Oryctolagus cuniculus: one gene and its partner. Each later gene encodes a partner of the first gene's protein in a complex. Links are inferred from orthologs where the notes say so. Each region holds a gene or a part of one and is shown in the gene's direction. Other genes may lie near its edges.

Region 1 (4,353 bases):
TTTGAAAAAACACTTTTTAAAAGTTATAACATTTTGCCTTTTTTGTACAAAAGCTTCAAAATCCAGTGGGTATTTTACACCTAGGGCTACTCCCAATTTAGATTAGCAACATCTGGGTGCTCAACACCACGTGTTAGGCTAGTGGCTGAGGTATTGAACAGCCCAGTTCTAGAACAGCCTATAGCCTGAGGGCCCTGCAGTTCATAACCGACTATATATAGTTCCTCCCTTTGGGACTGCTGCTTTGCCCAAGTCATTAGGACTTCCAGAGTGTAAATAAGGTGCCCTGAGGCTTCAAAAGGAACACTCGCCCACCACTGATGAACTCTGAATACCTGCCTTTCGGCTGCTTTCAAAAACCAATCCCACTTTCAATGGACAGATTTCTCAAATAGGAGGAATGCAAGAGACAGCAGAATGTAGTGGGCTGTGTCTACTATGTGGGACCTCGGACAAACGACATACTCTTTCTAGGTTTCAGTTCCTTCGTCTATAAAATGGGGATGTTTACAGCCATTCCTACTTCGTAGGTCCTTATGAGGATTGAATGAGCGAATACATAGAAAAAGGCACTGCAAGAGCCAGCGCTGTGGCATAGTGGGTAAAGTCGCTGTCTACAGTGCCAGCATCCCATATGGGCGCCAGTTTGAGTCCCGGCTGCTTCATTTCCAATCCAGCTCTCTGCTATGGCCTGGGAAAGCAGTAGAAGATGGCCCAAGTCCTTGGACCCCTGCACCCATATGGGAGACCTGGAAGAAGCTCCTGGCTTTGGATCGTCGCTGCTCCGGTCATTGCGGCCAACTGGGGAGTGAACCATCGGATGGAAGACCTCTCTCTCCCTCTCCTTCTCTCTGTGTGTAACTCTTTAAAATAAATACATACATCTTAAAAAAAAAAAAAAAGGCACCGCACCAGGTACATAAATGCTCAACACAGTACATGGTAGCTACTATTCCGGTGGACTTGTCACAGGCCCCAAGGTCAGCTCCAGGCAAAGTCCAGAAGGTTGGCACAGGCACCGGGGCCCAGGTTGAGAACTACGTCCCAGGCCCGCACGGGTGTGAGGACCTAAGCACAAACTGCCCAAGCGTCAGGAAAAAGCACCCACTCACCCATCATCCTGGTCTCCCCGGCCTGCTCTTTCCTGTCAAGGCTGAGGCGATGCGTTACTAAGGGAGACCTGACGAGACCTGACAACTTTCCTGACGGGGTGTGAGGGCGGTCCACTGGAAGCAGGAAGGATGGAGTCCCCGACTCTCCAGCTACCTGTCCGGTCCTCTCTGATGTGCGGACACAACTCCCGCCTCCGACCTGGTCCGTGTCCAGTCCTCAAGCCGGCGTCTGAGGTAGAGTTGCTCGGGAGACGGCGCGCCGCGCGTGGGCGGGTCCAGCCTGAGGGGGCGTGGCTAAGCGAGGCCCCGCCCTCCGGGCGCCGCCGGGCTCCAGCCTCGAGCGACGCACCGTTCTGACGCACTGCGTCTCCACAGCCAATCGGGAAGCGCAGAGTCGGTTCAAATAAAGACGGCGGGTGGACATGGGGTTCGCGAATCTTTCGGGCAGGTGATCGATCTGCGTCTTGTGTTAAAGATGTGGAGGGTGAAGAAACTGAACCTCGGCCTGTCGCCTTCGCCTCAGCCGGTGAGCGGGAGGGTCTGGAGGAGAGAGCGCTGGGCCGGGGTATGGGGGCGAGGGGACCGGCAGTGCCAAGGTTCCCGGGAAACTGGGTCGAGTTGGGGGCGGGGGGCCCGAGGAGTCTTTTTGTGGCTACGGCTCGATAGGAGTGGGACCCTTACTCTTCTTTTTGACTCAAGGGCTTCTCCAGAAGGAAGGAGGCCGGGCTGGCAGAACCCGAGCTTCCTCACACTCACTGACTTCTCACGTTCCTTCTCAGGGGAAACCAGCTATGAGGACTCCTCTCCGAGAGCTCATGCTGCAGCCCAGTCCCCTCAGCAACTCTGGAAAAATGTCGCCTGCGTGCTCCTCGCTGACCCCATCGCTGTGCAAGCTGGGGCTGCAGGTGAGATTCGCCTGGACAGCTTCTCGCCTGGGCTGTTTGCCCAGGCCGAGAGCTCAGAGGAGCAGAGGGCCGGGGCTGGAACGTAATTAATAACGATAATGAAGTCTTCTACCTCAGTGACTTCTATTTACAGCTATTCAGGCCAACTGAGAGGTGCCCTCGGGTAGTTAAAAGGAAATCCACCGAGAACCTGAATCTCCATTTAGCTGGTAGCTGGGAGTTTTTATTACCTCCTTTCCCATTCGACCTTTATCAAACTGTTGGGATATACTAGCACTCTGATTGGTGGTCTCCCTCTAACATGGCTTAGGTATGAAGAGGTCTATTTGCTACAAGAATGAGCTGTCTCCTTCCACTCCAGGAGGTGGCCAAGTCTCTTGGGATCAAATTACATCAATGGAAGATAGGGTGCTTGGACTCCCTAGCTTATCCCTTGCAGACTGCCCTCAGTGAGTTGTACTTTTGTCAAAGATCTTGAAAGATGTAGCCATGTACAAACTGCTCTTCATTTGTTGTAAAAACTTGCCAAGGAAGCCAAATGACCCTTCTAGAAGGTTCCTAAAAGAAATATTTTTGATTTATTACCTGGGAAAATTATCTTCCTAAAGAAATTGCTATCCTTTTTGTAATGAGAACTGTGACTTTGCCATATTTTTCCTCTTTCTCTGGCTTCCAGAAAGCTTAGGGTCAAATTTGATGATTAGTGCCAGTTACTTTTTTTTTTTTTTTTTAAGATTTATTTTTTTGGGGGCCAGCACTGTGGCATAGGTTAAGCATCCACCTGCAGCACCAATATCCCATATGGATGCCAGTTAAAGACCTGGCTGCTTCATTTCCGATCCAGCTCCCTGCTAATGGCTTGGGAAAGTGCTTGGGCTCCTGCATCTACATAGGAGACCCCTAAGACGCTTCTGGCTCCTGGCTTTGGATCATTCCAGCTCTGGCCATTATGACCATTTGGGGAGTAAACCAGCAGATGAAAGGCCTCTCTCTGTGTTTCTCCCTCTCTCTATCTGTAACTCTGCCTCTCAGACAGAACTTGGGGGTGGGGGGAGGAGAGAGAGAGAGAGAGCAAGCAAGTGACCTTCCATCTGCTGGTTCACTCTCTAAATGGCTGCAAGAACTGGGACTGGGCCAGACTGAAGCCAGGAATTCCAACCTGGTCTCACACATGGGTGTCAGGGGCCCAAGTAATTAGGCCTGGTGCACTAGCATGGAACTGGATCAAATGTGGAGCAGCCAAGACTCAAACTGCACTCCAGTGTGGGTTGCCAGCATCACAAGCAGTGGCTTAACCTGCACCACAGTGCCAGTTCCTTTCCATTTTCATATGCTGACTCAGATCTTTCTTTACCTTAGAGAAATTTTATTCTAATATTTGTTTTAAACTTTTAAAAAGATTTATTTATTTATTTGAAAAGCAGCATTAACACAGAGAGAGAGAGAGATCTTCCAGCCACTGGTTCACTCCTCAAGTGGCCTCAATGGCTGGAGCTAGCCCTATCAGAAGCCAGGAGCCGGGAGCATCTCCTGGGTATTCTACGTATGTGCAGGGGCCCAAGTTCTTAGGCCATCTTCTACTGCTTTCCCAGGTACATTAACAGGGAGCTGGATTGGAAGTGGAACTGCTAGGACTCAAACCAGTGTCCATATAACATGCCAGCACTGCAGACAGCGGCTTTACCCTCTATACCACAGCGCTGACCCCTTAAATTTTTTTTTATTTAAATTTTTTATTTATTTATGTGAAAGGCAGAGATAGTGACAGAGATCTACCAACCACTGGTTTACTCTCCAAATGCCTGCATCTGCTATGGGTGAGCCAGGATGAACCTAGGAGCGCAGAATCTAGGTCTTCCACATGGGTGGCAGGGACCTAAGTACTGACTCCCAGGCTGCACATTGGCAGGGAGCTGTAATCAGAAGCAAAATCAGGATTCAAACCCAGGCACTCTGAGGTGGGATTCAGGCATCTCAACTGGCATTTTAATACCTACACCCTAACATTTGTTAATCAGTACCTCATCTGTATTATGTTCTCTTTTCTTCTGGAATTTCTTTTATTCAAATGTTAGGTTTCCTGGGTTTATCTTCCATTTTTCCTAGCTTTTCCCTCAGATTTATGTTTTCTTTGTCCTTTATCTTTCCTTTTTTTTTTTTTTTTTTTTTTTTTAAGGCTTATTTATTTATTTGAAAGGCAGAGTTACAGAGAGGCAGAGGCAGAGAGAGAAAGAGAGGTCTTCCATCTGCTGGTTCACTCCCCAAATGGCTGCAATGGCCGGAGCTGGGCCAATTCGAAGCCAGGAGCCAGGAGCTGCTTCTGGTTCTCCCATGTG
Region 2 (4,620 bases), on another chromosome or scaffold:
TGGGCTGCTCCCCCCTGGGCAGCTAATTCAGCAGAGACCAGAGTCAAGATTCGACACAAGGGAAAAGTGTATTATGAGTAGCCGGAAGAGGAAGAGTGGGTCTCCTGGTGCCAGATATGCTCTTCCTAGTAAGCAAGTCAGCAGGACTTCTGAGGGGAGACGGCAGTTGAGAGAGGGTGGGAAGACAGTGAGTCTGGGACTGACTCTCAGGCAGGTTTTCATGGTCCTTTCCAATGGTCATCCCGGTGCTAGCTAAGTAGAGCTGCTTTGGTGTGAAGCTTGGCTGCTTACAGCTAGTGGGCTGTGTCTCCCTTATCTGAGGCATGATGCCTGCCATTCTGGCCACTTCCTTGCGGTTCGCTCCTGACACTCTTAGGCACACATTATTTATCGATTTGTACATTCTGATTAAGTCACAGGGCTAGTAGTTAGTTTTTGCTAAAGTTCACGGAATGGAGGATATAATCATTACTGCTGTGATTTCTTCAAATCCATATGCATACTAACAACAACCAGATTCCCCTTTGTACACAGGCACTTCTAGAAGTTCAGGGACAGACATTGCAGCACAGTGGGTTTAGCCACAGCTTGGGACACACATCCCATTTTGGAGTTCCAGTTCAAGTCCTGGCTCCCCTGCCTTTTTTTTTTTTTTTTTTTTTTAATTTATTTATTTGAAAGGCAGAGAGTTACAGAGAGGCAGGGAGAGAGAGATAGAGAGAGAGATCTTCCATCCACTGGGTCACTGTCCAAATGGCCACAACAGCTGGAGCTGGGCTGATCAGAAGCCAGGAGCCAGGAGTTTTGGAGTGCAAGGGCTCAAGCACTTGGGCCATCTTTTGCTGCTTTTTCCAGGCCATTAACAGGGAGCTGGTCCCCACCCAAACAGCATCTTAAGACTGTTGTGTGAAACATCTGCCCTGACTCATCAACTTAAACCAGGTTTCCCCACTTTTCTGTCTCATAGCGTCTTGTAATTTTCCTTCAGTTACCACAATTGGCAAATTACTTGCGTGATTTTTTTTTTTTTTTTTTTGACAGGCAGAGTGGACAGTGAGAGAGAGAGACAGAGAGAGAAAGGTCTTCCTTTTGCCGTTGGTTCACCCTCCAATGGCCGCCGCTGCAGCCGGCGCACCGCGCTGATCCTGGCAGGAGCCAGGAGCCAGGTGCTTTTCCTGGTCTCCCATGGGGTGCAGGGCCCAAGCACCTGGGCCATCCTCCACTGCACTCCCTGGCCATAGCAGAGAGCTGGCCTGGAAGAGGGGCAACCGGGACAGAATCCGGCGCCCCAACCGGGACTAGAACCCGGTGTGCCGGCGCCGCAAGGTGGAGGATTAGCCTATTGAGCCACGGCGCCGGCTACTTGCGTGATTTTTTAAAAAAATATTTACTCTCCGTTTCCTAGAATATAAACTCCATGAAGGTAGAGCCAAGGTCAGTCTTGTAATTTGTTCTCGCTCACCCCGACCCACCCTCTTAGAGTGAGTGCTCTGTGAATATTTATTGAATGAAATGAGTACAAGTACTAAATGACTGACAACTCTGCCCGGTCTATTAGGAACAGCTGTGGATCTTTAAAATATGGGTAAGTGCTATTTAAGTCGGACAGGCAGGTAGGTGCCTCAGGCACCTAAGCACACAGGCACAGGTGGCCGCCATCTTCAGCCTTACCTGTTACTCCGCACCCTGTAGTGCGCAGTTCTCATATAAATAATCTCCGCTCCTGACAGCATCCCCAGCCATGACAGACTAAATAAAGAGGATTATGACACTGACTCTAAACGCGGCCACGTTTGCGTCCCCAGGCTGGAATATGACGCCGGCGGCTCATTAGCTCCAATCAGGTACGCGAAGTGCGGCTCACTATCTGGCCGCCGGCCTCCGCTCGGTCTTTCCGTACAGCATGGCAGCCCCCAGAGCGGCGGCCTCCGACAGGGCCTTCCGTACAACAGGGCCACCTCCGGAACGCGAGCCGCGCCCCTTCCCTCCCAGCTACCGGAAGTTGCCCTTTGAAACCGAGGCGGCGGGCTCAGCCGGCGGCGCGGCGGTTGCTGCTGAGCGTCTTTTGAACCAGAGCAACAAGGACTGCGGGCGGGAGCGGCGGGCGCCTGGGTTCGACTTTTCCGGGACGAGGGAGAGGGCTGGATGTGAGGGCGGGCGGGCAGGGCTGCGAGTGGAGGGTTTGCTCTTCCCCGACGCCGGGCCCGCGACCATTCGGTCGCCGTGGCCGAGCGCTGGGTAACGTTCGTCTTGCTCCTTCCAGGGCCCAGCCGTGCAGCCTGCTTACGATGACCAGCGTGGTTAAGACGGTGTACAGCCTGCAGCCCCCCTTGCTGAGCGGCGGCTTGCCCGCAGGTGGGTGTCGCCCTGCGGACCCGCCGTGGGTGTGGCGGGGAACGAGATGCGGGCATCCCGTGGGCTCTGAAGACCTGCTGGGCCCCCTAGAACCAGGCTGTCCAGGTTTTTGATGGCAGTTAGGATTTTTTAGTCCTGGCCGGAACCCTTCCTGTCTGCACCACGCCGACCGTTCCGTTCTCGCTGTGGGTTGTATAATACGATGACCGTTAAGCTAGGGACCCCTTTTTAGACGGTGGTCCGTTTTATTTCCAGACTCGGCTACCTGGCGGAACCTTGTGGTCAGGCAGGAATGTAGGGGCAGTGAGATGCTGGGGAGGGGAGTCGTGGGATTGCTGGTTCACCTTGTGTCTGCACAGGGGCTCTCTCATAAGCACGATCAATAACCTTTGAGTGAAGGCGGGGGTGTGTGTGTCAAGCCTAGCCAGAGGGTTTGAGACCTGGGAGGAGAGAGAATGGCTGTTAGCTGCTTTGCCATCTTGCTTTGCTTGTGCTTGGAAGTCATCTCCGGGGGTTAGCGGTCCTGGGACAGCCTCATGGGGAGATGATGGCATGGAGTTAGCTCTCGACAGGAGAAAACTGTCGTGTGCGTGCCGTTATGGCGCATCTGTTTATGGCCCCTTCCAAGAATTCTCTGCAGCTGGCTGATGTGCTAGGGGACAGTTAATCTTCAAGGTAAATAGGCTTTTCTCTGGAGGCTGAAAGGGTTTTTTTGTGTGTGTTACCTCAGAACACCTGAGGAGTGGCATTCTTGGCATTGGCAGGGACTGGGCGTGGCGGGAGGAACTGGCCCCAGGTCTCCACAGCGCCTCTGTTCCCTGCAGGTGCAGTGCCCCTGGCTCAGCACCAGTGACTGCCTCTCCCTGCCTCCTTGCAAGCTTTCTGCAACTGCGGTAGATGAACAGTTTTAGGCTGTCACTAGGTTTTCTGTCTTGACTTAGAGCATAAGTTGGTTGTTTTTTAAGGTGGTTTTTTTTTTTTTTTTTTTTTTTTTGACAGGCAGAGTTAGAGAGAGACAGAGAAAGGTCTTCCTTTTTCCGTTGGTTCACCCCCCAAATGGCTGCTACAGCCAGCGCACTGCGCCCATCCGAAGCCAGAAGCCAGGTGCTTCCTCCTGGTCTCCCATGCGGGTGCAGGGCCCAAGCACTTGGGCCATCCCCCACTGCCTTCCCGGGCCACAGCAGAGAGCTGGACTGGAAGAGGAACAACCAGGACAGAATCCGGCGCCCCAGCCGGAACTAGAACCCGGGGTGCTGGCGCCGCAGGCAGAGGATTAGCCTAGTGAGCCGCGGCTCCGGCCCAGTTTTTATGAATGATTTATTTATTTATTTGAAAGGCAGAGTAGCAGAGAGGCAGAGAGAGAGAAATCTTCCATCTGCTGGTTTGCTGGCCAGTCCGAAGCCAAGAGCCAGGAGCTTCTTCCAGGTCTCCCACACGAATGCAGGGTCCCAAGGACTTGGGGCATCTTCTACTACTTTCCCAGGCCATAGCAGAGAGCTGGGTTGGAAGTGGAGCAGTGGAGTCTCAAACCAGTGCCCATATGGGATGCCAGCACTACAGGCAGTGGCCACAGCGCCGGCCCCTGCTTTTTAAGTTTTTTTTAATAGGTAGTATATGCATATTAAAAAAAAAAAGTTAGGAAATGATAGTGAAAAGCAAGTTTCCTTCCCTCAATTGACAAGAGCTGGTTTTCCTCCCTGTCTCCCCTTTTAAGAGACAGTGTTTGTTACATCCTACCACATTGTTCCTACAAAGCAAACCATGGTTTCTGACAAATGTGGGTTAATAGAATCAATTCCAGTCAATGAAGTGTGAATTTTTATCAGTTTACCATTAACTCTGTTTTACATGAGGTCTATTTGTTATTATATATACCTTGATACTTATGGTAGAAGAAGATAAATATATTACCCCAGAGTTTCCTTTTACTTCAGACACCTTAAAAAAAAACATGTAATATTTGCTTTTGTTAAGAGTAATGAAAATAGAGAGGACAGGTGTCCAGTAAATGTACCTATAAAAGAAAATTGGCCTGAGGCGCCAGTGTTACAGCATAGCAGGTTAAGCTGCCACCTGCGTTGCCAGCGTCCCATATAGGTGCCAGTTCCTGTCCGGGCTGTTCCACTTCGGGTCCACCTCCCTGCTAATGTCCTGAGAAAGCAATAGAAGATGACCCAAGTGCTTGAGCCCCTGCACTCTGGAAGAAGCTCCTGGCTTCAGCCTGGCCCCATGTTGGCTCTTGTGGCCATCTGTGGGGGTAAACCA

What was found.
Region 2: SPAG5 (region 1) and KNSTRN share a complex: the UniProt entries of both Homo sapiens proteins name them as parts of the astrin (SPAG5)-kinastrin (SKAP) complex. The link is inferred for Oryctolagus cuniculus from reciprocal best matches to the Homo sapiens genes SPAG5 and KNSTRN.

The regions. Positions count from the first base shown.
Region 1 is NC_091448.1:44,104,134-44,108,486, reverse strand, and holds the start of SPAG5 (sperm-associated antigen 5), read left to right. Parts: upstream 1-1,445; 5' UTR 1,446-1,587; coding exon 1,588-1,638; intron 1,639-1,891; coding exon 1,892-2,017; intron 2,018-4,353. UniProt on the Homo sapiens protein: Essential component of the mitotic spindle required for normal chromosome segregation and progression into anaphase. Required for chromosome alignment, normal timing of sister chromatid segregation, and maintenance of spindle pole architecture.
Region 2 is NC_091443.1:63,564,893-63,569,512, forward strand, and holds the start of KNSTRN (small kinetochore-associated protein), read left to right. Parts: upstream 1-1,493; 5' UTR 1,494-1,903; coding exon 1,904-2,112; intron 2,113-2,263; coding exon 2,264-2,355; intron 2,356-4,620. UniProt on the Homo sapiens protein: Essential component of the mitotic spindle required for faithful chromosome segregation and progression into anaphase.